Anolis sagrei: one gene and its partners. The protein of the gene in region 2 interacts with the protein of the main gene of each other region in a pairwise test. Links are inferred from orthologs where the notes say so. Each region holds a gene or a part of one and is shown on either strand. Other genes may lie near its edges.

Evidence for each region.
Region 1: the proteins of HSPB1 (region 2) and PPM1A interact in a two-hybrid assay, tested with the Homo sapiens proteins (2 studies listed by BioGRID and IntAct). The link is inferred for Anolis sagrei from reciprocal best matches to the Homo sapiens genes HSPB1 and PPM1A.
Region 3: the proteins of HSPB1 (region 2) and BAG3 interact in binary tests that used the Homo sapiens proteins (3 or more experiments, as listed by UniProt). The link is inferred for Anolis sagrei from reciprocal best matches to the Homo sapiens genes HSPB1 and BAG3.
Region 4: the proteins of HSPB1 (region 2) and WDR83 interact in binary tests that used the Homo sapiens proteins (3 or more experiments, as listed by UniProt). The link is inferred for Anolis sagrei from reciprocal best matches to the Homo sapiens genes HSPB1 and WDR83.

What each region holds. Positions count from the first base shown.
Region 1 is NC_090021.1:333,092,350-333,099,654, forward strand, and holds the start of PPM1A (protein phosphatase 1A), read right to left. Parts: upstream 3,015-7,305; 5' UTR 2,636-3,014; intron 1-2,635. UniProt on the Homo sapiens protein: Enzyme with a broad specificity. Negatively regulates TGF-beta signaling through dephosphorylating SMAD2 and SMAD3, resulting in their dissociation from SMAD4, nuclear export of the SMADs and termination of the TGF-beta-mediated signaling.
Region 2 is NC_090031.1:32,940,601-32,948,545, forward strand, and holds the start of HSPB1 (heat shock protein beta-1), read right to left. Parts: upstream 3,006-7,945; 5' UTR 2,981-3,005; coding exon 2,593-2,980; intron 598-2,592; coding exon 534-597; intron 1-533. UniProt on the Homo sapiens protein: Small heat shock protein which functions as a molecular chaperone probably maintaining denatured proteins in a folding-competent state. Plays a role in stress resistance and actin organization.
Region 3 is NC_090023.1:202,041,424-202,048,284, forward strand, and holds the start of BAG3 (BAG family molecular chaperone regulator 3), read right to left. Parts: upstream 3,010-6,861; 5' UTR 2,708-3,009; coding exon 2,516-2,707; intron 1-2,515. UniProt on the Homo sapiens protein: Co-chaperone and adapter protein that connects different classes of molecular chaperones including heat shock proteins 70 (HSP70s), e.g. HSPA1A/HSP70 or HSPA8/HSC70, and small heat shock proteins (sHSPs), e.g. HSPB8.
Region 4 is NC_090022.1:111,887,607-111,894,863, forward strand, and holds the start of WDR83 (WD repeat domain-containing protein 83), read right to left. Parts: upstream 3,008-7,257; 5' UTR 2,921-3,007; intron 2,732-2,920; 5' UTR 2,681-2,731; intron 936-2,680; 5' UTR 771-935; coding exon 668-770; intron 6-667; coding exon 1-5. Other genes in the region: WDR83OS (PAT complex subunit Asterix), read left to right, coding at 3,173-3,222, 7,052-7,157. UniProt on the Homo sapiens protein: Molecular scaffold protein for various multimeric protein complexes. Acts as a module in the assembly of a multicomponent scaffold for the ERK pathway, linking ERK responses to specific agonists.

The DNA of each region.
Region 1 (7,305 bases), on a different chromosome or scaffold from region 2:
TTTCTCTTGGTCATGGGGGTTCAGTGTGGGAAGTTTGCCCCGAGTCTGTCATTCGTGGGGTTCAGAACGCTCTTTGATTGTAGGTGAACTGTGAATCACAGTGACTACAACTCCCAAATGTCAAGGTCTATTTCCCGCAAACTCCATCTGTGATCATATTTGGGTGTAATGAGTGCTCGTGCCAAGTTTGGTCCAGATCCATCATTGTTTGAGTCCACAGTGCTCTCTGGATGTAGGTGAACTACAACTCCCAAACTCAAGGGTAAACTATAAATCCCAGCAACTACAACTCCCAAATGACAAAATCATAATTTTTGAGGGATGGTCACTCCTTGTGTTGTGAGACGTTTTCTTGCCAAATTTGGTGTGATTTCGTTCATTTGTTCTTTTGTTTTTAAGGTACTCATTATGCACAGAGCATTTATATATATATAAATAGATAATACTGTTACAACATTATTAATATTATATATAATATATTAGCATTATTACATTCTCACAGTCCATTCTCCACAATCAAAACACCAACCCTAAGTAGGGGATGAAGATAGTAGTAGTAATGATGATAATACAAATAATATAATATCTTAAGTTGTAGTATATATAACAGACATGGGCAAACTTCGGTCCTCCAGGTGTTTTGGACTCCAACTCCCACAATTCCTAACAGCCTACTGGCTGTTAGGAATTGTGAGAGTTGAAGTCCAAAACACCCAGAGAGCCTAAGTTTGCCCATGTCTTATATATGAGATATAATGTTACATTTTTAATATTATATATAATATATTAGCATTATTTATTTATTTATAATTCAAACTTATATGCCGCCACTCCCCTGGGGCTCGGAGCTTACAAGAACAGGCTAAAATCTAACAAAATTTAAAAACAATTTAAAAACAACAACAACAACATTTTCACAGTCCATTCTCCACAATCAAAACGCCAACCCTAAGTAGGAGATGAGGATAGTAGTAGTAATGATGTCAATACTACTAGAATCATAGAATCAAAGAGTTGGAAGAGACCTCATGGGCCATCCAGTCCAACCCCCTGCCAAGAAGCAGGAATACTGCATTCAAATCACCCTTGACAGATGGCCATCCAGCCTCTGTTTAAAAGCTTCCAAAGAAGGAGCCTCCACCATATATTATACTAATAATATAATATCTTAAGTTGTAGTATATATAACAGACATGGGCAAACTTCGGCCCTCCAGATGTTTTGGACTCCAACTCCCACAATTCCATTGTGAGAGTTGAAGTCCAAAACACCTGGAGGGCCGAAGTTTGCCCATGTGTTATATATAATATACAATGTTATATTTTTAATATTACATGTAATATATTAGCATATATATAAGTCCAAAACACCTAGAGGGCCGAAGTTTGCCCATGTCTTATATATAACATATAATGTTACAATATTATTAATATTATTATATATAATATATTAGCATTATTACATTCTCACAGTCCATCCCCCACAATCAAAATGCCAACAATTCCTGAATTGTGAGACTTGAAGTCCAAAACACCTGGAGGGCCGAAGTTTGCCCATGTCTTATATATAACATATAATGTTACAATATTATTAATATTATATATAATATATTTGCATTATTACATTCTCACAGTCCATTCTCCACAATCAAAACTCCAGCCGTAAGAAGGGGATTAGGATAGTAGTAGTAATGATGATAATACTACTACTAATAATAACAGCCGGTAGCCTGGGCTGAAGTTTGCCCATGTCTTATATATAATATATGTTATATTTTTAATATTATATGTAATATATTAGCATATATATAAGTCCAAAACACCTAGGGGGCCGAAGTTTGCCCATGTCTTATATATAACATATAATGTTACAATATTATTAATATTATATATAATATATTAGCATTATTACATTCTCACAGTCCATTCCCACAATCAAAACGCCAACAATTCCTGAATTGTGAGAGTTGATGTCCAAAACACCTAGAGAGCCGAAGTTTGCCCATGTCTGTTATATATAATATAATATATATATATATATATATATAATATTGTTAGGAATTGTGGGAGTTGAAGTCCAAACACCTGGAGGGCCGAAGTTTGCCCATGTCTTATATATAATAAATAATATTATATATTATATAATATATTATATTATAATATATATATATATATATATATATATATAATATTATATATAATATATTAGCATTATTACATTCTCACAGTCCATTCCCCACAATCAAAACACCAGCCCTAAGTAGGGGATGAGGATAGTAGTAGTAATGATACTACTACTAATAATAATAAACATGTCCTCTCCCCTCCGCCCCTTTTACCATAATGCTAATAATTCTAATATATAATGGTAATATATTAGCATTATTATATTCTCACAGTCCATTTCACACAATCAAAACACCAGCCCTAAGTAGGGGATGAGGATAGTAGTAGTAATGATGATACTACTACTAATAATAATAAACATGTCCTCTCCTCTCCGCCCCTTTTGCAAAATGTCAGGGCTTTGCAGGGCAGGGATGACAATGAGGATGAGAGCCACAATACCAACTGCACAACAGGCCTCCTTCCAGGCCCGGGCCTCTCCTTCTGGAAGTCCCCCAGCATCCACTCACCCCGCAGGAGAGAAGAGGGCGCGACTCCGCCTTCCCGAAGCGAGGCGAGGAGGTCTAGGCCAGACCGGGCCGGGCCGAGCCAAGCCGGCCTCGCCTCAGTTCATTCGACGACGACGACGGCGACAGCGGCTCCTCCTCGCGGCTCCTGAGGGGGAACCGAGCGCTCATCTCTCCAGCCGCTCCGATCCCTCTCCCCCTTCCTCCTCCTCCTCCTCGTCCAGGCCCCACTCCCACGCGACCCTATTTCCTTTCCTCTTCCCTTCGCTCAATTCCCTCAGGCAACCAAGCCAGCGAGGGGCGGGGGGAAAGAGGGAGGGAAAAGAGCCTTCTGCGCACGCGCAGAAGGGGAGAGCAGGGGGCGCGCGAGTGACGGTTGAGAGGAGAGGAACGACGTCAGGGCGAGGAGCGCGCGCCCGCCGAGCGTGGGCGTGTGCGCATGCGCGAAGGAGTGCCTCCTCTCTTCCCTCCTCCTTCTCTAAAGCACACTTTTGCGGGTCTCGCCTCAGAGGCAGAGCTTGTGCGCTTGCGTGAATTAGGTCTCTTCCTATTAAACCACAGCCTTGGCATGTGCGCATGCGCGGAATACTCTTTTTTTTCTCTCTCTCCCTTCTCTAAAGAAGTAGGTCTCTTCCTATTAAACCAGAACCTTGACATGTGCGCATGCGCGGAGTACCCTTCTCTCTCCCTCCTATTAACCAGAGCCTTGACAAGTGCGCATGCGCAAAGTACCCTTCTCTCTCTCTCTCTCTCCTATTAAACCAGAGCCTTGACATGTGCGCATGCGCGGAGTACCCTTCTTTCTCCCTTCTCTAAAGCACGGCTTTGCAGGCCTCTCTTCTGAGGCTGAACGTATGCGCATGCGCGAACGAGTACATCTCTCTCCCCTCATTTCTATTACACCAGAGCAGCTCGCCTCTCCTCTGAGGCTTGGCATGTACGCATGCGCAAAGGAGTACATCTCTCCCTATTAAACCGCTCGCCTCTTATGCGCATGCGCGAAGTAAATCTCCCTTCCTCTCCTCATTTCTATTACACCAGAGCAGCTCGCCTCGCCTTTGAGGCTTGGCATGCGCGCATGCGCAAAGGAGTGCATCTCTCCTATTAAACCGCTCGCCTCGTATGCGCATGCGCCTCTCTCCTATACGTGTACGCATGCGCAAAGGAGTACCCCTCTCTCCCTCTGCTCTTTCTCTCCTTTAAAGTACAGCTTTGCAAGCCTCGCCTCTGAGGTTGGATATGTACGCATGCGCCGAATGCCTCTCCGCCTCTCTCTCCCTCCCTTCTATAAAAGCTCACTTTGCGAGACTTTCCTCTGAGCTTGGGCATGTGCGCATGCGTAAAAGAATCCCTTCCCCCTCGCTCTGTCCTGCCAGAGAAGTTCGCGCATGCGCAGAAAGCCTCTCTCCCTCCCTTCTAAAGCTCACTTCGCGAGCTTTTCCTCTGAGCTCGGACATGTGCGCATGCGTAAAAGAATCCCTTCCCCCTCGCTCTGTCCTGCCAGAGAAGTTCGCGCACGCGCAGAAAGGACTGGAGGGGAGCGTCAATCCGAGCACGCGTGCGCAGAAAGGAGACAGCCATCGCTCGTAGTAAGAATGGCGGCGCGCTCCCGTGTTATGCACTCTCGCCATTTGAGGTTGACGTCAGCGCATGCGCAATGCTTCCGCCAATCCCTCTGATTGCACGTAGGCACGCGAGCGCGCTCCCGTGTGCTGCTGATCCTCCTCCCGCCCCCCTCCCCTCGCGCTCTATGGTAACCGCTGTAAGGGGTTTTGCAGCTGGCTTTGGTGCAGCGCGAGGGAAAGAGCCCGGATGTTGGGTGGGAGGGGGAAATGGAATGGAGGGAGATGTGGGCGAAGTGTTTCGCTGAGGCAATTATTGTTATTACATCATTCCCGCTCCCTACTGCGCCTGCGCAGTTTAGGATGGCAGGAAAGATGAAAGAATGAGTGGCCTGAAGGGAATTATGGCTGCTGCTCTTCCATTTATGGGGTGCCATTAAATCTACACAGCACTTTACCATAAAACAACACGAAGTAGTAATATAATATATTGTATACATATATATTGATAATAATATTATATTGCAATACAATATCATAGAATCAAAGAGTTGGAAGAGACCTCATGGGCCATCCAGTCCTGCCAAGAAGCAGGAATATTGCATTCAAATCACCTCTGACAGATGGCCATCCAGCCTATGTTTAAAAGCTTCCAAAGAAGGAGCCTCCACCACACTCCGGGGCAGAGAGTTCCACTAGTAAACGGCTCTCACCGTCAGGAAGTTCTTCCTCATGTTCAGATGGAATCTCCTCTCTTGTAGTTTGAAGCCATTGTTTCGCGTCCTAGTCTCCAGAGAAGCATATAATATATATGGGTTGTTGTAGGTTTTTCCGGGCTATATAATTTATATAATTTTCCGGGCTATATAATTTAGTGCAATCTGGTAATGGAACATAGGAATGGAACAATGGACGACGAATCTGTACTACGCTTGGATGATGAGAAGATTGGGTACGGTTGTTTTTTGTAATAATTGTGCATTGTAATTGCTTATTGGTAATTTATGGATAATGTGTTAAGTCAATTGTTATATGTTGTATGGAACCACTGCTGTTTCTACTGTTTTTACTGTTTGTGAACCGCTGTGAGTCGCCTTCGGGCTTGAGATACAGCGGTATATAAGCAAAGTAAATAATAATAAGTAAATAAATATATGGCCATGTTCTGCAGGCAATTTTTCTCCTGATGTTTTGCCTGCATCTATGGCAAGCATCCTCAGGCGAAACATCAGGAGAAAAATTGCCTCCAGAACATGGCCATATAGCCCGGAAAAACCTACAACAACCCATGGATTCCGGCCATGAAAGCCTTCGACATATAATATATATGTTGGGGTTCAGCCTGATCCTGATCTGTGTGAACCAGATTCTCTGATAGTTTTTCCAACTGAGCAAGCTCTCCCTGACCCTGACAGTGTGGAATCTGTTGTTGATGTTGAGGTCAGCGGCGATGAAAATGAAACTCAACAGCTGGAGGAAAATGTTTTGGAAGCTAGCCGTGATATCTCTCCACCTGGGGTTTTTAATGAGGACCGAAGAGAACAGATAGTTAGAGACAGAAATGTTTCACAGTTTCTACGAAGGTCAAATCGTTTACAGGAGAAACAGGCCCAGGCTTCAAAGTCAAGGGGCGTTTCAAAGAATAGCTTCTTTGGTTTAAGGGGCCTCCTGCCGGGTGCCTCTTTAGATCAAGCAACGTTTGGGACTGTGGCTGTGCCTTGGCAGAATTCCTGTGTTCCATGGCCAGTAATCCCAGAGGCTTCTAGTTATCAAATTCATGGTCAGTAAAAGGCTAACAGGTTCCTGGTTCTTGTATTGTGGCTTTTGAAATTTTGCTCAAGTTCAGAGATTCTACTGACTGCTGTGTTTTTTCTGTGGCTTTTTGACTTTGCATTTACCTTTCTTTTGTAACCAATTTTTCATCAATAAACAAGGATTGCTTTTCCTACAGTCCAGTGTGATGGATTTAATCTTATGGTCTCGTTTCTTGATCTGGGATGCAACAATATAATATAAAGGAAGAAGGAGAAAAGAAAGAAGGGGATAATGGTTCAACCAGCAATTAAACCGGCGTCAACCGTAACATAACTAGTCAACAAACGTTGTTGTTCATTTGTTCAGTCGTCTCCGACTCTTCGTGACCTCATGGACCAGCCCATGCCAGAGCTCCCTGTCGACCGTCACCACCCCCAGCTCCTTCAAGATCAGTCCAGTCACTTCAAGGATGCCATCCATCCATCTTGCCCTTGGTCGGCCCCTCTTCCTTTTACCTTCCACTTTCCCCAGCATAATTATCTTCTCTAGGCTTTCCTGTCTCCTCAACAAACATACCAGTTGTATACCAGCTGTAATTATCTTTTGTAACAATCTGGAAAGGAAGAGGAAAGACAATGTTATTTTGCAATTGATAGATGCTTTTGAACTGTGGTGCTGGAGGAAAGTTCTGAGAGTGCCTTGGACAGCGAGAAGATCCAACTAGTCCATACTTCAGGAAAGAAAGCCTAACTGCTCACTGGAGGGAAGAATAGTAGAAGCCAATCTGAAGTACTTTGGCCACATCATGAGAAGGAAGGAAAGCTTAGAGAAGACAATGATGCTATGGCAGCATTAAGAGCAAACCCATCAGAGATTTGTGTTTCCTGAAAACAGTCCCAAGTTGCTAAGATGGTCAATAAAACATTATAAAAAGTCAGTCACAAAGTCTAGAAAGCATAAAGCCAAAAGACAAAACAATGTATACATGTATTGTATTGTCAAAGGCTTTCATGGTCGGGATCACTGGGTTGTTGTAAGTTTTCCCGGGCTATATGGCCATGTTCTGGAGGCAATTTTTCTCCTGATGTTTTGCCTGCATCTATGGCAAGCATCCTCAGAGGTAGTGAGGTATGTTGGAAGTAGGAAAAATGGGTTTATATATCTGTGGAATGACCAGGGTAATGTTTCACCTGATCACCTTGGTTTGCATTCAGTGGCCTGGAAGCGCCTGGGGGGGATCTCTTGTTGAGAGTGATTTTATGTGCCTGTAGGTTTCCCCTCTGTTGTTTTGCTGTTGTAATTTTTGAGTTTTTTAATACTTAATGTTTTATTGACCATTTTTCCTACTTCCAACAG
Region 2 (7,945 bases):
AAGGGAAGTAAGAGAGGAAGGAACGATGGACAGAGGAAAAGAAGGAAGGAAGGGATGGAAGAAGGAGAGGGGAGGGACAGAAGAAGGAAGGAAAGACCAAGAGGGAGGGAGAGCACAGCAGTTGAGGATGCTTGCCATAGATGCAGGCGAAACGTCAGGAGAAATGCCTCTAGAACATGGCCATATAGCCCGAAAAAACCCACAAGAACTGAGTTTCCTCCCTATTTCCCTATTTGGAGAAAATATAACAAAAGGTGCCATTTTCCATCTGGCCACAGGATGGCGACAAAGTGGACTCAGCAGGAGCCCTCTACTGCTAGGCTGCACTAAAAGGGTGCAATTCCCGAGTTGGCCACTGGATGGCAGCAAAGAGACATGCCATTAAGGCATTGCAGGGCTCAGGATGGGCCTCCTTCTGCACTGTCTGGGGATGATGGGACCTGTTGTTGTTTCAACTCCCCAGGTAAAAGGATCAAAGGAAACGGGTCCCTCCATTGGGAAGGAACTGACCAGAAACCCGCCCAGCAACTTACGTGTATTTCCTGGTGAAACACCTGGAAATAAATCCATGCTCATCTTGTCGTTCTTCGTGTTTTCCTGAAAGAGACGGAAGGAGAGAACGTAAACAAACCCCACATTTGGACACAGACCTATTCTTACATTTTATTATTGGCTTATTACATATTATTTTAATATATATTATTTTATAATATAACATTATATTATTATATATTTTTATATTATTGTTGCTTTAGTTTATTGTTGTTATATTGTGACTGTATTAATGCAATCGCAATCGTATAAAGCAATTATAATGTAAAGTAACAATAATTTATAATACTACAAAATAAAATAATATAAAACATAGTAAAAACAGGATGCAAATAAATCTATACTAGTATTACTATTAAACATAATTTATCAATCAATCAATCAAAACCTAATGTTTGAAAAGACCCCAAAGACTACCCTATCTATCTATCTATCTATCTATCTATCTATCTATCTATCCATCCATCCATCCATCCATCCATCCCAGCATTGGAAGAGACCCTAAGGGCCATCCCATCCAATTCCCTGTATGTATGTATGTGTCAGTTTGCCTCTCTCATAGATAGATAAATAGACATAGATAGATAGATAGATAGATAGATAGATAGATAGACAGAGGGATGGATGGATGGATGGACGGATGGACGGACAGATAGACAGATAGAGGGATAAACAGATAGATGAATGGATGGATGGATAGATGGATAGACGGACAGACAGACAGACAGACAGATAGATAGATAGATGGATGGATGGAGGGATAGACAGACAGATAGATAGAGGGATGGGTGAGTAGGTAGATAGGATGATAGATACATAAGAAGATAGATGGGAAGATATACACATACAAGTAGTTGGACTCTAGTTGGATTCTATGATAGATGGATGGCTAGATAGATAGATAGATAGATAGATGTATACGTACATACAGAGGGTTGGATAGATAGGTTAGTAGCTAGGTGGATGGATAGAAAGATATCTAGATGCAGAAGGTTGGACTGGATGGCCCTTGGAGTCTCTTCCAACGTCACGATTTTATGATGGATGGGTGGATGGATAGACAGATAAATAGATAAGTGGCAGGTGGGTCAGTGGGTACGTAGGTAGGTGGATGGATGGATGGATGGATGGATGGCTAGATAGATGGATGAATGGATGGATGGATAGAGGGATAGACAGAGGGATAGATAAAGTGGTTGGGTGGGTCAGTGGGTAGGTAGATAGATAAGTAGATAGATAGGATGATAGATACATGCGAAGATACAAACATACACATACAAAGTTGGACTGGATGGCCCTTGGGGTTCCTTCCAACTAGGATTCTTTGATTGATTGATAGATAGATAGATAGATAGATAGATAGATAGATAGATAGATAGATGGTGGATGGATTGATGTATTGATGGATCAATGGATCAATGGATCAATAGATAGACCAATAGATAGATAGAGCGATGGATGGATGGATGGATGGATGGATGGATGAATGGATGGATGGATAGATAGAGATAGATAGATAGATAGATAGATAGATGGTGGATGGATTGATGTATTGATGGATCAATGGATCAATGGATCAATAGATAGACCAATAGATAGATAGAGCGATGGATGGATGGATGGATGGATGGATGGATGGATGGATGGATGGATGAATGGATGGATGGATAGATAGAGATAGATAGATAGATAGATAGATAGATAGATAGAGGGATAGAGGGATAGAGGGATAGAGGGATAGAGGGATGGGTGGGTAGGTAGATAGGGTGATAGATACATGGGAAGATAGATAGATGGGAAGATATACACATACAGGTAGTTGGACTGGATGACCCTTGAAGTCCCTTCCAACTTCAGGATTCTAAGATGGATGGATGGGAAGATCGGCACATATACATACATACAGAAGGTTGGACTGGGGGGCCCTTGGCTCCCCTTCTAACTCTAGGACTCCCTGACCCACCAGCCCCCTATTCAATCACTGCCTTGGCCGAGGGTGGGGCTGGATGCCCTCCTGGGCCCCTTTCCTTCCATCCTTACCGGTGATCTCCACCACGCCGTCCTTGGTCTTGACCAGGAGCTCCTCAGGGGCGAAGTGGTTGACGTCGAGGGCCACCTTCCACCCTTCGGGGGTCTGCCGGATCTCGGAGACGCCGCTGCTGAGCTGCCGGCTGAGGGCCCGGCTGTAGGCCGGATGGGCCCCCGGAGGGCCAGCGCTGGCCGGAGTGGCCGGCTCGGGGCTCTGGATCATGGGGCGGACGTAGCCCGGCCATCCGCTGCTGCTGCCGGCGGGCCACCTATACCAGTCATCGGGGACCATGGGCATCCCGAAGGCCTGGTCGAAGAGGCGGCCGCCTCGGTACCAGTCCCGGAAGGGCTCCCAGCTGGGGCTGCGGAGGAAGGTGAAGGGCACCTGGCGCTCCGACATGGCCAACGCTCCTTTGTCCGGCCGGGCCAGCTGGCCCTTCTCATCCAGAGGCAAAGGGCTATTTTGGGAGAAGAATGTCTCCTTGTCTATTAATGGAAATGGCGCTCCCAGGAATGGAGCGGGAGGGAAAGGCCTTTTTTGGACTGCGGGACGGGCCCTGGCATACGGAGCGGGAACGGGGACCCCGAGGGCCATCTAGTCCAGCCCCATCCTGAAAAGATGGACATTGCAGGACCATTGCATACAACAAAGCGCTCTGAAAAGATGGACGTTGTGGGATCATTGCATACAATGGGAAGAGACCACCAAATCCTTCCCAAAAGATGGCCATTGTTGGGACCATTGCTTAGAATTACAGAGCTGGAAGGGTCCCCCAAGGGTCATCCAGTCCACCCCCATTATGCTCCCCTAAAAGACGACCATTGCATACAATGAGAAGAGACCACTAAAGCCTTCCCAAAAGATGGCCAATGTGCAACCACTGCATACAATGGGAAGAGACCACCAAATCCTTCCCAAAAGATGGCCATTGTGCAGCCACTGCATACAATGAGAAGAGACCACCAAATCCTTCCCAAAAGATGGCCAATGTGCAGCCACTGCATACAATGAGAGGAGACCACCAAATCCTTCCCAAAAGATGGCCATTGTGCAGCCACTGCATACAATGAGAGGAGACCACCAAATCCTTCCCAAAAGATGGCCATTGTTGGGACCATTGCATAGAATTCCAGAGCTGGAAGGGACTCCCAAGGGTCATCCAGTCCAGCCCGATTCAGCTCTACACCTAAAGCACTCTCAAAAGATGGCCATTGTGGGACCATTGCATACAATGAGAAGAGACCACGAAAGCACTCCCAAACGATGGCCACTGTGCATAGCATTACAGAGCTGAAGGGACCCTGAGGGTCATCTAGCCCAGCCTGTTTCAGCCCTACAACTAAAGCACTCCCGAAAGATGTCCATTGTGGGACCATTGCATAGAATTACATCTCTGGAAGGGGCCCCCAAGGGTCATCCAGTCCAGCCCCATTCAGCTCTACACCTAAAGTACTCCCGAAGGATGGTCATTGTGGGATCATTGCATACAATGAGAAGAGACCACTAAAGCCTTCCAAAAGATGACCACCATTGGACCATTGCATGGGATTCCAGAGCTGGAAGGGACCCTTGAGGGTCATGTAGTCCAGCCCCATTCCGCTAGGCAGGAAGAGACCACCAAATCCCACCAATTGTTGGGACCGTTGCATAGAATTATAGAGCTGGAGGGAACCCCTGAGGGTCATCTAGTCCAGCCTCAAAATGCCTACACCTAAAGCACTCCCAAAGATGGCCATTGTGGAGACCATTGCATAGAATTACATATTTGGAAGGGACCCCCAAGGGTCATCCAGTCCAGCCCCATTATGCTCTACACCTAAAGCACTCTTGGCGTTGGGACCATTGCATACAATGAGAAGAGACCAAAAGATGGCCACTGTTGGACTATTGCATAGGATTCCAAAGCTGGAAGGGACCCTCGAGGGGCATGTAGTCCAGCCCCATTCAGCCAGGCAGGAAGAGACCACCAAATCCCTCCCATTGTTGGAACCATTGCATAGAATTACATATCTGGAAGGGATCCCCAAGGGTCATCTAGTCCCACCTCATTCCCAAAGATGGCCATTGTGGGGACAATTGCATAGAATTACAGATCTGGAAGGGACCCCAAGGGTCATCCAGTCCAGCCCCATTATGCTCTAAGTACTCTTGAAATATGGTCATTATGGGACCATTGCATACAATGTGAAGAGACCACTAAAGCCCTCCCAAAAGATGGCCACTGTGGGACCACTGCATAGGATTACAGACCTGGAGGGGACCCCTGAGGGTCATCCAATCCAGCCTCATTCTGCCGAAGAAGAAGAGACCACCAGATCCCTCCCACTGTTGGAACCATTGCATAGAATTCCAGAGCTGGAAGGGACCCTCGAGGGTCATCCAGTCCAGCCCCATTCCGCCAGGCAGGAAGAGACCACCAAATCCCTCCCATTGTTGGAACTATTGCAGAGAATTCCAGAGCTGGAAGGGACCCCCGGGAGTCATCTAGTCCAGTCTCATTATACTCTACACCTAAAGCACCCCTGAAAGATGGCCATCGTGGGACCATTGTATACAAATGAGACCACCAAATCTCTCCCATTGCTGGGACCATTGCATAGAATTACAAAGCTGGAAGGGTTCCCTGAGGGTCATCCAGTCCACCCCTATTCTGCCGGGCAAGAAGAGACCACCAAATCCCTCCCATTGTTGGAACTATTGCAGAGAATTACAGAGCTGGAAGGGACCCCCGGGAGTCATCTAGTCCAGTCTCATTATGCTCTACACCTAAATCATTCCTGAAAGATGGCCATCGTGGGACTATTGTATACAAATGAGAAGAGACCACCAAATCTCTCCCATTGTTGGGACCATTGCAGAGAATTACAGAAATGGAAGGGACCCCCGAGGGTTATCTAGTCCAGCCCCATTCCGCCAGGCAGGAAGAGACCACCAAATCCCACCCATTGTTGGGACCATTGCATAGAATTATGGAGCTGGAAGGGTTCCCTGAGGATCATCCAGTCCAGCCCCATTCTGCCCTATACTTAAAGCACTCCCGAAAGATGCCCCCCCAACCTCTGTTGAAGGACAGCCTAAGAGACTCCCATGAGCTCGCCCAAATGTCAGTCCAGAGCAGACCAGTTCACCTCCAAGGATTGAAAGACCTTTTGGGAGGTGCCAAGCAGAACGTGGCACAGACCGAGCGAGGGGAAAGAGGAGGAGAGAGCGGGGCACCAGAGGGACTATCCTTGGTGTTTTTGGGAAGCGGAGAGCGGGATCTCTCTTGCTCCGGCCGTGAGTCACTGTCCGCCAAAGGGACCGGCTGCCTCTTCTCTGAGGTCATCATCCTTCTGAAGGTCCAGGCTCTGCGGGAACATTCTTGGCCGGGACTCTAATTTTCCTTCAAAAAAGCAAGACTGAGATGGATTAGAAGGGACCCCAAAGGCCATCCAGTCTATCCTTTGTAGCTATGTGTACTTTCCGACCTGTCAGTCATGGGACATTCGATCCAACCGCCCTGTTTTCAAACGTAGTGACAGAGTGTCTCACCAAAAACAGAGGACACGGCCCCGACAAAGATCCCATTACAATCGATCGATCTTGTATATTTTATTATAATTGAATCAGCTCATGGGAATCTACAACTGAAGTCGCGGCCGGAAGAAAGGAGAGAGAAATAAAAGAAGGAGAGATAGATAGATAGAGAGAGAGAGAACGTTGTTGTTGTTCCGACTGGCTATCATTTGCAGAGACGGCGACGAATAAACAAATGCTCGGAAGACTGAAAGAAATGTCCCTGATGGGAGAGGCCCCCAAAGGCCATCCAGTCCAACCCCCTTCTACCACAAACGACACCGTTTGATCCCTCCGGACAGATGGCCATCCAGCCTCTGCTTAAAAACCTCCAAGAATTGAGACTGTCCTCATATTCCGGTGCCATTCAAATCCATGGCTCCATTTGTCCTCATATTCCGGTGCCATTCGAATCAATGGCTCCACTGTATCCTCGTCTACAGAGTATCTGGACACTCAATCCTTACTGATGCAGCCTAGAATTGCATTGGCCCTTTTCGCTAGGTATATTATTATCGTCAAGCTATAGCTATATTGGTTTGTTGTGTGTTTTCTGGGCTGCATGGCCATGTTCCAGAAGCATTCTCTCCTGATGTTTCTCCTGCATCTTGTGAGGTCTATGGCTCATCTATGGCAGGCATCCTCAGAGGTTGTGAGGACCTCACAACCTCTGAGGATGCCTGTCACAGATGCAGGTGAAACATCAGGAGAGAATTCTTCTGGAACTAGGCCATACAGCCCTGAAAACACACAACAAACCAGTGATTCTGGCCATGAAAGCCTTTGACAATATTACTTTCCTCCATTTAGACTCCGATGGATGCAGCCTGGAATTGCATGGACCTTCTGAGCTGCTGCATCCCAATCTTGGCTCGTCTTCAGTCATATATCTCAAGCCATGGCTATATTACTTTCCTCCATTTGGACACTAGACCCCGACAGATGCAGCCTTTCAAGCTGCTACATCCCACTCGTGGCTCGTTTTGAAGCCTTGCAGGAACAGGACGCTTTTGGGCATCCAACGTTGCTTCGGATCTTCTCACCCGACTGGTGAAAGCTTTCCCCGAATCCCACAAAGTTCTCCAAAGTCACTTGAGACTGTACGGCTTTCACCAGAGTCTATATTTCCAGAGTGAACCGGTTTCTGTCAGCAATACGGTTCCAGAGATGCTTTGTGGGTTCCTCCTAGATCGCAATGTCCCTATTTGCACGTTCTTCTTCTCTTCCTCCTCCTCCGACCTTCCTGGATTCCCCCCTCCCCAATTGTCTCCACTTGAGATGCCTATCTCTGAACTGTATCCTTCCAGAATGTTCTTCCCCTTCTTTCCAGACACCCCCCACCCCCAGCCCTGAAAATAAGTTTAAGTACAATCATCCGGGGGGAGGATATATATCAAAACAAGCCCAGTCGATAGATCAAAACAATGACAATAAACATGGTTGGTCAGCCTCCTCTGAAGCTGAAAGTAGAGTTCTGTGAGCTACGTTTGTTTGGGGAGGAAAAAGAAACAGAGAAGGGGGGGAAAAGAGGAACATAAATAAATAAATAAATACATAAATAAATAAATATATAAATAAGTAAACAAACAAGTAACCTCCTCTTTCTCCCTTTCTCCTCTCCCATTTTCCTAACTTAGCGAGCGGAGTTGAGTTTCGTCCATTTGTTCGGAAGGCAAAAGATTTCTTCATCCCGTACTTCACCCTTCCCTACCTTTGTCGTTGGTAGAAATGAGTTTTCAACCTTGTACAAAGCAGAGAAGAAAGCAAGAAAGAAGAAGAAGAAATAGAGGAGGAGGAAGAGACGGAGGA
Region 3 (6,861 bases), on a different chromosome or scaffold from region 2:
ACAGAGAAGGGAGTGAACAAAGCTTTGCACACACAAAGATACTTTGGGCCATAGGCACACACTCCCCTCACGTACAAACTCACGAAGTCTGCCTCAAGGATCTTGGTCTACTCTCTGAAACCTGTGAGGAGAAATCAGGGTCATGTTTCTCCCAGGCACTCAACTTTGGGGGTCAAAAAATAAATGCCCTATACCCCAGGATCTGATCCCAGGTTTTCTGCTTTAAACCAGCTTATAGGAGTCCGCACTGACAGATAATGTGAGATAAACAGAAAACCTGGGATCAGATCCTGGGATATAGGGCCAGAAGGGCCCGAAGTGGGTTCCCTCAAAACACACACACATCACTGCCCCACGTTTAGTCCTCCCTCCTCAATCTCCTTCACCTTTACCTCCAAAGAAGGCAAGTAAATACACTGAATAGCCAGCCATAAAGGTAAAAAAGGCAAATCACTGAGAGGCTGGCCATGAAGGCAAAAAAGTAACTGAAAGACCTGCCATAAAGGTAAAAAAGGCAAATCACTGAGAGGCCAGCCATGAAGGCAAAGAAGTAACTGAAAGGCCTGCCATAAAGGTAAAAAAGGGCAAGTCACTGAAAAGTCAGGCATGAAGGCAAAGAAATGAAAAACCTGTCATAAAGGTAAAGATACTAAGGTAACTGAAAGGCCAGCTATGAAGGCAAAGAAGGCAAGTAAGCAAAAGGTCAGCCATGAAGTCAGAGAAGAGAAGTAAGTGAAAGGCCAGCCATGAAGGCCAAAAAAAAAAAGTAAAAAAAAGAAGTAAAAAGCCAGCCATTAAGGTAAGAAAAGGCGAGTCACTGAAAGGCCAGCCATAAAGGCAAAGAAGAGAAGTAACTGAAAGGCCAGCCTCGAAGGCAAAGTAAGGCAAGTAATTGAAAAATCTTTCATAAAGGTAAATAAATCAAGTAAGTGAAAGGCAAGTCATGAAGGCAAGGAAGTGAAAGGCCTGTCACAAAGGTAAAGAAATCAGGTAACTGAAGGTCCTTCCACACAGCCTTATATCCCAGGATATCAAGGCAGAAAATCCAACATTATCTGAGTTTGTAGATTCAGATAACGCAGTTCAAAGCAGATATTGTGGTATTTTCTGCCTTAATATTCTGGGATAATAGGGCTGTGTGGAAGGGCCCTGAAAGGCCAGTTATAAAGGCAAAGAAGAGAAGTGAAAGGCCTGTCATAAAGGTAAATAAATCAAGTAAGTGAAAGGCAAAGAAGAGAAGTAACTTAGGGCTCTTCCGCACAGCCCTATATCCCAGGATATCAAGGCAGAAAATTCAATATCTGCTTTGAACTGGGTTATCTGAGTCAACACCGCCATATATTCCAGTTCAAAGCAGGGAATGTGGGATTTTCTACTTTGATATTCTGGGATATAGGGCTGTGCGGAAGGGCCCTGAGAGGCCAGTTATAAAGGCAAATAAGAGAAGTGAAAGGCCTGTCATAAAGGTAAATAAATCAAGTAAGCAAAAGGCAAAGTAACTGAAAGGCCTGTTATAAAGGTAAAGAAGACAAGTGAGGAGGGCCCTTCCACACAGCCTGATATCCCAGAATATCAAGGAAGAAAATCCCACATTATCTGAGTGTGTAGATTCAGATAACGCAGTTCAAATATTCCAGTTCAAAGAAGGGAATGTGGGATTTTCTGCCTTGATATTCTGGAATATATGGCTGTGAGGAAGGGCCCTGAAAAGCCTGTTATAAAGGTAAAGAAGACAAGTGAGGAGGGCCCTTCCACACAGCCCTATATCCCAGGATATCAAGGCAGAAAATCCCACAAATATCTGCTTTGAAGTGGGTTATCCAAGTCCACACTGCCATATATTCCAATTTGAAGCAGATATTGTGGGATTTTCTGCCTTGATATTCTGGGATATAGGGGTGTGGAAGGGCCCTGAAAAGCCAGTTATAAAGGTAAAAAAGACAAGTAAGGACCTAATCACACTAGAGAATGAATCCACTTTAAATCTGGTTGCTTCCTCCTGAAGAATTATGGGATTGGTAGTTTGGGGGGACTCTTTAACAGCCTCACTAAACTACAAACCCCAGAATTCTGCAGGAGGCAGAAACTGGATTTAAAGTGGATTCATTCTCTAGTGTGATGAAGTAGTGAGCGAAAAACCTGTCAAGTAAGTGAAAGGCCAGCCATGAAAGGCAAAGAAGGCAAGTAATTACAATGTACTAAGCAAGGTTCTTTCCCAAATGTCACAACTAATTCCATTCAAGACATAGAAAGGTCAAAGCAAGTTGGGGAGGAGTTGTATGCCAGGGGGAGACTCTGGGGTCATGTTTGGGTTGAGAAGAAGTCGCTACAAAATGACATTTCCCAAAGGAAGTTTCTCTGAGCCTGTTTCCCCGCCTCCCTTTCCCTCTGGTGGAGTTTCCCCACTCAAGGCGAGTCTGGGGCGAAACCCCTTGCCCTTGGAGTCCTCATCGGAGCCTCTTCGCGTCTTTAATAAGGACGGGAAGCCGGCCTGGGGGGAGGTTTGTGTGTGTACCTTGCGGTGGTCGCCCTGCTGCGGCAGCCTGGGGTCGCTCCAGGTGGTGGTGCGGCTGTTGTGGTCCACGAAGAAGGGCCAGCCGGTCTGCGGGTCGATTTTCACCTCCCAACCGGGCGGTAGCGGCTCCCGCTCGCCCGCCCCACCGGCCTCGGTCGGCCGCAACGCCGGGGACTGCGCCGCCGCGCTCATCCTACTGCTGCTGGTGGTGCTGCTGCTGCTACTGTTGCGAGAGCGGCTGTCCCTGCTCCTAGCTCTGCCTCTTCTGCTGCCTCTTCTGCTGCTGCTGCGACTGCGGCGCCTCCTCCTCCTTCGCCAGCCATGCACTGGGCAAGCAAGCGAGGCCGCCCCACCCGCCAAGCCCCTTTATGGCTCGGAGGGAGAGAGAGGGAGGGGACGGCGAAGGGGGTGGAAGGGTCTGGAAATAGCAGAGGAGGAGAAGAGGAGGAGGAGGAGACAGGGGAGGAGGAGCAGCAGCTGCCCGGCTGGAAACTTCTGGGCGCCTCGCCTCACAGCTCCTCCTTGAGTCACGCTCCCGCCACTAGGATTATTGTCACGGCGGCTATTACTCGCCACCCGCCGCTCTCCGCTCCATTATGACGGAGCGCGCCTCCCGGGACCGCCCCCCGCCTCGCCGCTCAAGGAGAAGCCAAGCCTCCCTCTTCCCTCTTGAGCGCCCATGAAGGGGGACGGCGACCCAAAGTCAGGCCGGAGCTGATTTGGTCATTTATCGTGCCAGGAGCGAACCAAACAGTTGAATTGCATTTTAAAAACACACACACACACAAAACCCCCACAAAGTTCGCACACTTGGCATTCTATTATTTGTTATTATTTGAGACACAACAAGATGAGTCCACAGCAGACCATAATAAATAATAGAATGCCAAGTTTGCAAACTTTGTGGGGGGTTTTGTGTTTTTAAAATGCAATACAACTATTTGGTTCGCTCCTTATTTATTATTGTTGTTCATTCGTTCTGTCGTTTCCAACTCTTCGTGACCTCATGGACCAGTCCACGCCAGAGCTCCCTGTCAGCTGTCACTACCCCCAGCTCCTTCAGAGTCAAGCCAGTCACTTCAAGGATGCCATCCATCCATCTTGCCCTTGGTCGGCCCCTCTTCCTTTTTCCTTCCACGGTGGTCCACGCTTTGGTTACATCCCGTTTAGATTACTGCAATGCTCTCTACGTGGGGTTGCCTGTGAAGACTGCCTGGAAGCTCCAACTAGTCCATAGTGCGGCAGCGAGAATGCTAACACGAGCAGGGTACAGGGAGCATACTACTCCTGTTGCGCCAGCTCCACTGGCTGCCAATTAGCTTCCGAGCACAATTCAAAGTGCTGGTGTTAACCTATAAAGCCCTAAACGACTCCGGCCCTGTTTACCTGTCCGAACGTATTCTCCCCTATGAACCATCTAGGTTGTTAAGATCGTCTGGAGGGGCCCTGTTCTCGGTCCCACCAGCCTCTCAGGCGCGTCTGGTCGGGACGAGGGACGAGGGACTTCTCGGTGGTGGCCCCTCGACTCTGGAACTCTCTCCCACTGGAGTTCAGAACTGCCCCCTCCATTCTGTCATCCAGAAAACGGGTGAAAACCTGGCTATGGGGTTTGGCTTTCGATGAGTGAATCAATATTTCTGTGATTGGATAGATGATGATGAATGATGGACAACAAATTCACTATGACGACTGACCATTGTTATTATGTGATTGCATTTTGCTGTTATAACGTTTTAATTGAATATGTTATATGATGTTTTTAATTATTGTTTTGTGATTTTATTGTTGGAAATCGGCCCAAGTCCCCTGATAGAGGGGAGAAGACCGGTATACAAAATTGCTAAATAAATAAATAAATAAATTTTCCCCAGCATCATTATCTTCTCTAAGCTTTCCTTTCTTCTCATGATGTGGCCAAAGTACTTCATCTTGGCCTCTACTATTCTTCCCTCCAATGAGCAGTCTGGCTTTATTTCCTGAAGTATGGACTGGTTGGATCTTCTCACGGTCCAAGGCACTCTCAGAACTTTCCCCCAACAGCACAGTTCAAAAGCATCTATCTTCCTTCACGCTTTCCTAAGGTCCAGCTCTCACATCCATAGGTGACTATGGGGAATACCATTGCTTTAACTATGCAGACCTTCATTGCCAGTGTGATGTCTCTACTCTTCACAATTTTATCGAGATTGGACATTGCTCTCCTCCCAAGAAGTAAGCATCTCCTGATTTCCTGGCTGCAGTCTGCGTCTGCAGTAATCTTTGCACCTAGAAATACAAATTATTTATTATTATTATTAATTATTAACTTTATTTGTACCCCGCTAGCATCTCCCGAAGGACTCGATGCGGCTTACACAGGCCGAAGCCTCAAAACACAATACAATAAAGGACGTAACATCACAATAACAAAGCAAATCAAACAGTAAGCAAAATATCATAACTCCACAATAACTAAGCAAATCAACAGTAAGCAAATAAGCAAATAACGACAATGGCAGAACGTCAGGACATTATTAAAACAGGTTCGGCCGGCGCAATGGGGTACAAGGGTTAAAAGTGCTGAAATGGTAGGAGGCACGTAAGGTTGAAAGTGCAGTGTGCAGCGACAATTTATTATGCTAAGGTGCTACTAGGACTTAGGTGGGGATTTCTAGTCTGGGAAGGCACAACGGAACAGCCAAGTTTTTAAATTCCTTCTGAAAACGGCTAGAGTGGGGGCCTGTCTGAGATCTTTTGGGAGGGCGTTCCAAAGTCTGGGGGCCGCCACAGAAAAGGCCCTGTCCCGCGTCCCCACCAAGCGCGCTTGCGACGTGGGTGGGATCACGAGCAGGGCCTCTCCGGATGACCGTAACGAGCGTGTGGGTTCGTAGATGGTGATGCGGTCACGCAGGTAGGGTGGTCCCGAACCGTTTAGGGCTTTGTAGGTAAGCACCTGCACCTTGAATTGGGCTCGGAAAATAAAAGGCAGCCAGTGGAGCTCCTTAAACAGAGGGGTAGACCTCTCTTGATAATGAGCCCCGGTTAGCATCCTGGCTGCTGCCCGCTGGACCAATTGAAGTTTCCGAGCCGTCTTCAAGGGCAGCCCCACGTAGAGCGCATTGCAGTAATCCATTCTAGAGGTGACCAAGGCGTGGACCACCCCGGCCAGATCAGCCTTCACGAGGTATGGTCGCAGTTGGCGCACAAGTCTCAGTTGCGCAAAGGCCCTCCCGGATACCGCCGACACCTGAGCCTCAAGTGTAAGCGAGGAATCCAAGAGGACACCCAAACTGCGGACCTGTGGCTTCAGGGGGAGTGTAACCCCGTCCAACACAGGTAACCACCCTATACCCCGATCCGGTTTACGATCGACCAGGAGGACCTCTGTCTTGTCGGGATTGATCTTCAGCTTGTTCTTCCTCATCCAGATCGACACAGCGGCCAGGCACTCACCTAGCACCTGAGAAGCCTCCTTGGAATTAGGTGGAAAAGAGTAGTAGAGTTGCGTGTCATCTGCGTAGAGATGGCACCCAACTCCAAAACCCCGGATGACCTCTCCCAGCGGTTTCATGTAGATGTTAAAAAGCATGGGAGACAAAATAGAGCCTTGCGGGACCCCACAGGTCAAAGGCCAGGGGTCAGAGCAGGCATCTCCCAGCTTCACCATCTGAGTTCGTCCCTCCAGGAAGGACTGGAGCCACGACAGAACCGTGCCCCCAAGGCCCATCCCGGAGAGACGACCCAGAAGGATACCATGATCGATGGTATCGAAAGCCGCTGAGATGTCCAAGAGAACCAGCAGAGTCACACTCCCCCTGTCCAGCTCTCTGTGGAGGTCATCCACCAAGGCGACCAAGGCTGTCTCGGTGCCATGACCAGGCCTGAAACCAGACTGTGACTGATCTAGGTAGTTGGTATCGTCTAGGAAACCCTGGAGCTGAGAGGCGACCACCCTCTCCAGCACCTTACCCAAAAAGGGGAGGTTGGAGATCGGCCTGTAGTTATTCAGCACCGAGGAGTCAAGGGAAGCTTTTTTGATAAGTGGGCGAACCACGGCCTGCTTCAGGTTAGATGGAAAAATTCCTTGCTCCAACGATGCATTGATAATCGGTACAAACCAGTCAAGCAACCCCCCTCTGGCTGATTTAATGAGCCAGGATGGGCATGGGTCCAGGGATGAGGTGGTCGCTCTCACAGCCCCAAGGATCTCCTCCACGGTTTCAGGAAGAACAAGCCTAAAAGAATCCCATAAAGTTAGACAAGCAGGTGCCTCCGTCACCTCTTCTGGCACTGCGATGGAATTGGAGTCGAGCTCGAGGCGTATCTGGGCGACTTTATCTGCAAAATGGTGTGCGAAATCGCGACAC
Region 4 (7,257 bases), on a different chromosome or scaffold from region 2:
ATCCACTATATTAAACAAAGAGGAAACATAATTGATTGATCTTTGTTCAGTCCACTAGACACAATAATCTGTTATATTTCATCACAATTTGCCCCAAAATCACAAAATTTCTGCCCTAGAAAGCTCAATTCCTCATCTTATTGTGTTTGTTTTCTTGATTTAACAAATGACACAAGACTTACAATTACATACTAGACGTTATTTTCATACTAGGAAATTGCCTTTTCATTTCTCCATCCCTATCAGCTAAACATTTTCATTGGGATCCTACAGGAGCATACAAAGCATAATGCTTTCCCCACACAGAATAGTCTGTTGCTCTCCATCTAATAAAGACAATAGTACATATAAATCACATTAATGTAAAAATGATGTCAGTATGCATATCGTATAAATCTAACTTGAGTTGATAATATGGTCCATTATCAGCTACCTGCACAAAGTATTTTTCATTTCATTTTACACTCTTCAGTTACTTTTGAGTGAAGTATTGAAAATGTTAAGCTTTTCTTCTTTTTAAAATGGCATGCTGTTTGCCTATTCTGCTAAAAGCAGGATATCTGTCTCCTACTTTTGGTTCTTGGTTGAAATGCAAAGTACCTTTCTTATACCATTTTAAGGATGGCTCCCTTATTATGCCACTTTAAAGGACAAAGGGCACACTCACCATTGAATCTCACTGCTCTGACAGCTCCCTGTTTACATTCCAGTGTAGCAAACAGTTTCTTTGGAAGCTCAGGCTTTTTGGGCTTGGGCTCTGGAAAGGCCATGGCAAATACAAGTAACTTCTGGTATGCAAGAACGTATTCTCCTCTATTATTGATGTTGCAGCTACAGTCACAGCATGATCTCAGACACCAGGAATATCCCCAACTGATTGATATGATTCGATTGCTTCTGCTTCTGGTTATTTATTCTCTTCAGAGTGACACCACCTGGTTGCAGAATAACAAATGCAAAGAAATCAGTTTCCAAGGGCCATACTATTCAAACAACTAGCTTCCTCACAATGGTGAAACAAATGGAGAATCCATTCTGATTACAAAGTTGGATCATCATACAAAGGTAAGCACCAATTGCCTAAGTTGCTGCCATTCTTACAGCCTACCCACACACTGCAACTATTCTGATTTGACAGAGACAGCCCCAATTAATCCTGTTATCCCACTTTCTTATTTAAAAATTGTTTCTTTCTCCTCCTTTGTTTTAGCAAAGTTCAAACTACAAAACTATGTAATTTGCACATAATTCACTCAGAGGAGGGAGAAGCGTTAGAAATATACCCCTTTGGAGCCTTTTTATAAATACTCTGATTACAAAATTTTGAAGCAGAAAATTTTATAAAATATACCTGCAGGCAGATGCATCTTTTTAAAAAAAAAGATAGACAAAGATGCACATACACAATATAATGAAGTTCATATTTAAATCCCCCTTTCTCCATACCTCACCCTTGGATCACATCAGAAGCACTGTCAAAAGAGCCTTTGATAAATCACATTTCCTCTGACACATGGCCAGCCTACAGCCGTATATGGAGTTCCTTCCTTCAAGTGTCCTTTGGCATACTGGCACATCTCTCATGCTTAGCCCTTAATATGATTTTAATTATTTCAACTTTAAGTGGCTGAGTCCATTAGTCCCTTAAACTTAAGTAACTGATCTCATCAGTTCTTGAATCTTCAACTCTTCTAGCATTAACAGTCTGCTTTTATCCAAATCTAATTTCTTTCTTTGCTTCACCTGCATTTAGCATCAATTATGATCAATTATTCACTTTTCTGTAGATTGTCTGTGTAACATCTGCTGCTCCTGTATCTATATTTAAGTTGTCAGCTACTCTACAGACAGACTTTTTTTGGTTGTTTTTTCGTTCAGTCACTTCTGGCTCTTTGTGACCTCATGGACCAGCCCGTGCCAGAGCTCCTTGTCAGCTGTCACCACCCCCAGCTCTTTCAAGCTCAAGCCAGTCACTTCAAGGCTACCATCCATCCATCTTGCCCTTGGTCGGCCCCTCTTCCTTTTCCCTTCCATTTTCACCAGCATCATTGTCTCCTCCAAGCTTTCCTGTCTTCTCATTATGTGGCTGAAGTACTTCATCTTTGTCCTTAGGAGGAGTGAGCAGTCAGGCTTTATTTCCTGAAGTATAGACTAGTTAGATCTTCTCGTGGTCCAAGGCACTCTCAGAACTTTCCTCCAGCACCACAGTTCAAAAGTGTCTACCTTCCTTCACTCAGCCTTCCCTATGGTCCAGCTCTCACATCCAAGTTACTACAGGGAATACCATTGCTTTGACTATGCAAATCTTTGTTGCCAGTGTGATGTCCCTACTCCTCACTATTTTATTGCTCATTGCTTTCCTCCCAAGAAGTAAGTGTCTTCTGATTTCCTGGCTGCAGTCTGCGTCTGCAGTAATCTTCATTCCCAGAAATACAAAGTCTGTCACTGCCCCCATGTTTTCTCCCTCTATTTCCCAGTTATCAATCATCCGGATGCCATAATCTTGGTTTTTTTAATGTTTAAATGCAACCCAGCTTTTGCACATTTTAAATCCTGACTGATTTAAAATGCAAACATCAAACTTAAAAGTAAAGAAAGGATTATGTGAAAAAAATGACTTTGAAAGTATTTGGAGAAAATTTCTAGAAAAGGCAAAAGGAAAAAGAAAATGGGAATTTACCTCCCAGTGAAGAACTGAACTTTTGGTGGAACTTTAAAAGAAAAGATGGCTCTGGAGAAGAGGAGCACAAGGGTGAGTGTAAATAAAAGAGAGGGGAGTGTATAGTACATGTCTATATAACTGGGTTTTTTTCTCAAAATAAAAAAATATTCTAAAAAATAAAAAAAAATGCCACAGCAAGAGATTCAAGTGTGTCTGTGTTACTCTTCCTCTTAAGCCGCCTCCTCCACTCCAAGTTACCTTTGAATTCGAGGGGAGGCAGCGAGTCGGAAAAGCTCCTGCCATTTCCACAGGGTCCGCTCCGTTCTGCCTTTAATGTCTCCCAGGATGCCTCTCCGGGGAAGAGAAGCCTGTCTCGCCTAACCGGAACACAAATGCGCGGGACTCGGGGTGCGGCATCCTTAGTCTTCCCCCGTGAGGAGAAGCGGAAGCTGGAGTGGTAAAGGAAACCCGCCTTCCCTGAGGAGCCCTGAGACGGGCCGCGAGGGTGGGATGTCCAGCAACAACATGGCGGACCCGCGGCGGCCCAACCGCGTCCTAAGGTCAGATAGTGGGGGTCAGGGGTCGCCGGGACACGAAAGGGGTTTCAGTCTCTTAGGAGGGGCCGCTGGGGCTCGCGCCGCCCCCTCCGCGCGGCAGGCCTGAAGGGTCACTATGGCAACGCCTGGGCGCGCGCGGCCTCTCCTTTACCACCCAAGCAGAGCTGGCCCTCTGAGGCGCTGGGCAGAGTGCGAGGCGCCAGGGAAAGCGGCAAGGACGTTGGGCGCCTGGGCCGAGCCCGAGGGCCGAAGGACATCCCCGCCCCCAGGCAGCGTGGCCCGCATTTCCCAGGGGGTGCTCTCGGGCACAAGGCCTGGCAGGAACTAGGAGGGAAGGAGACGCTTGGCCTTGTCGCGCGGGAATGCTTTCAACTGCCTTGATTCCCACACTCTCGCCCTCCAGGTTGTGAGCCTCGGCTCCCAGGAGCCTCAGCTACTTGGGCCAATGAGTGGAGTCTCTGGGAGCCGAAGTCCAAAAACCTCCGGCCAGCCAGAGCTTGAGAAACTGCTTCAAAATAATAAATGTGTTTCAGCAAGTTAGGAGCCCCCAGTAGCGCAGTGGGTTAAATCCCTGTGCTGACAGAACTGAAGACCGACAGGTCGCAGGTTCGAATCCGAGGAGAGGACGGATGAGCTCCCTCTGTCAGCTTCAGCTCCTCATGCGGGGACAGGAGAGAAGCCTCCTACAAGGATGGTAAAAGCTTCAAAACATCTGTCCCCTGAGCAACGTCATTACAGACAGCCAATACTCTCACACTAGAAGCGACTTGCAGTTTCTGAAGTGGCTCCTAACAGGACAAAAAACAAAACAAAACAAGCAAGATGGACCCGGTTTGAAATGGCTGTTTCTCTGCAACCACCAACCACCCCTGAATGACACACTCACCTCCTGAAAAAGGTTGGGCAGAGAGTTTCAAAGGGATTAATTACGTCATGAATAACTTCTGCTATCTTGATGGCATTCTATCTTAATACTTGCATATTGCAAGTGGAGCCCCTGGTGGTACAGTGGGTTAAACCACTGAGTTGCTGAACTTGCTGACTGAAAGGTGGTTCAAATCCAGGGAGCAAGGTAAGCTCCCACTGTTAGCCCCAACATCTGCCAACCTAGCAGTTCAAACCTAGCAGGAACCCCTCGATGCACAATGGGTTAAAACCTTGTGCTGGCAGGACTAAACACTGACAGGTTGGAGGTTCAAATCCAGAGAGAGCATGGGTGAGCTCCCTCTGTCAGCTTTATCTTCCCATTCAGGGACATGAGAGAAGCCTCCCACAAGGATGGTAAAACATCAGAACATCTGAGCGTCCCCTGGGCAACATCCTTGCAGACAGCCAATTCTCTCACACCAGAAGGGTCTTGCAGTTTCTCAAGTTGCTCCTGACACACTCACACACATACACACAGCCAGCACAGTGATTTGTTTGCTGTGTACTAATCCTGTTGTGTATCAAATAATAATCATAATAATAATAATAATGTATTTGTTACTTGCCTCTCTTTGTGGCTCAAGGTGGGTATGACTTAGGTAAAAGAGTGATGTAGAACAAAGAACTATCGAAATACGTACAACAAATACAGGTAAAATGCAGCTTAAAATTTCTCAAGTCACTCCTGACATGAAAAAAAAAGTTCAAACACATGTAAAAGAGTAAATTAATAGGTACCGCTCTCACGGGAAGGTAACAACTGCGGTCCATGCAGTCATGCCGACTACATGACCTTGGAGGCATCTATGGACATCACCGGCTCTTTGGCTTATAAATGCAGATGAGCACCACCCTACAGAGTCAGTCATGACTAGACTTAATGTCTAGGGAAAACCTTCATCTTTACTATACTTCAAGTGCATACATTCACAATGGAGGACCTTCTTCCAGCGACACTAGAGGCACTCTGGTCAAAGGAATTTTAGCATAATGACAAGTTTTTAACTTTGTTAGTGGTTTTTTATACATTATAACTGTATTCTCAATTTTCTTCTAACACGATAAATAAAACTGCTAGATGCCTCTCCCAGCACTAGCCCCAGTCATCCATGAGATAGTGACCCCGCAACACCAGGCCTAATGAGATATTCTCCATTTTCAGTTATTATTTTTTTACATTTGTTTCTGGTTCAAAATGGTTAGTAACAATTGATGACTCATTGCCATTTGTAACTTTTTGTGTGATTGTAACATGTTGCCATCCTGGAATATACTGCCTTGCAATTGGGTCCATAGTTTTTGAAACACCCTGTAAAATTGGGAGATTTGCCCTTCAGGATAGATTAGATCTGTCCATGCTAAACTTGTAGCGTAGCAGCAGGCTGTTGCTGATGTGATGTACAGGAGAGGCCTTCATAGAAATGAAAGAATGGAATTACTCAGTTCTGAGATGGGCAGCTCAGGATCGCTTGGTGTTTAGATGCTACTTACTACTGGCTGCATTGAATTAAGTTGATTGTTCAGTGACATCTGGGGCAGCAGGTGCCCACCCTTATCTTGCCCAACCCGTTCCTCAATGTGGACTCTTCAGTGCAAGATGTCATACAGTCATCCTTTTTTTTCATGTCAGGAGCAACTTGAGAAACTGCAAGTCGCTTGTGGTGTGAGAGAACTGGCCACCTGCAAGGACACTGCCCAGGGTATGCCTGGAAGTTTTATCATCCTGTGGGAGGCTTCTCTCATGTCCCTGGATGGGAAGCTGGAGCTGACATATGGGAGCTCACCCTGGTCTCCGGATTTGAACCGCTGATCTTTTGGTTAGCAGTCCTGCTGACACAAGAGTTTAACCCATTGCACCACCAGGAGCTCCTGTAATCCTGACAGATGGCTGTTCAGCCTCTGGCATGTTCACCTTTATTGGCTTTTTATGAAAACAACATTCCAGTTAAGTAAAGTAGCTAACTTTCTGTAAAATACAGTTTCAAAGAGTTTGCATGTGAACAATTTGTGTTAACATTCATTAATCATATAAATATTAGTATAAATTATGAGATCATGATTCTATATTTTACGTATATGGTTTTTAATCTGTTGATTGATATGTGTTTTAATTGCTTATATAATTAGATTCTGATGATGATGATAATGACGACGATGATGATGATGATGATGATGATGATGATGATGATAATAATAATAGCAACTTTATGTTTATACCCTGCCTCCATCTCCCTAAAGGGACTCGGGGCAGATTACAAGGGGCAAGCCTGAAAAAAACACAGATTAAAACATAGTGCAGTAAGTAAAGTCAAAAACAATATCAAAATATCAGAAACAAAATAAAACACATCACAATAACACAGCACAACATCATAAAAGCAATCCCTAGGCCGATCAGTAAAAATACTAATCTCAGAGGGCTAAGAGTTTCTGCAATAGTTTCTGGATAGGGCTAAGGGAAAGTGCAAAATCCAATAGAAGTTAGGACTGGAAGAGTAATGTCATTTGGCATAAAAATGCCAGGGCTATAGGGCACAGGGCAGAACTAAAGTACAGGAGCTGTTGGTAAGTTACAGTTATATTTTGATGAGATGTGTTTTGTTGCTTAGCTGTGTGGCATTGAATTTTTACCAGATCTGTAAGCTGTCTTGAGTCCCCTTTGGTGTCAAGAAAAGTGGGGTAGAAATGAAGTAAATAAATAAATAAGAAATGAGTGTAATGTGGCAATTTTATCCATCCATCCATACACATACAAACAAACATATGTTATACAATCTTATTATAAGCAGAGAATGTGCTATTGGTGTCTTGGTCTTTAGTTCAACGTTATTGCAGATAATGTTAATATTTTATTTTCCATCCTGATTTAATGCTTTCTCCCCCCACTCCATAATTTCATTTGTAGATACAAGCCTCCATCCACAGAGAACAACCCAACCCTGGAAGACCCTACACCTGACTACATGAATCTTTTGGGAATGATTTTTAGTATGTGTGGCTTGATGTTGAAGGTGAGTAGTGACCAGTAGTGGCAAATTGCCCATCCCCCACTCACCCGTTCACTTGTTCACCTGTAGGACATCATATTGTAGTAATAAGATCCATTGCATT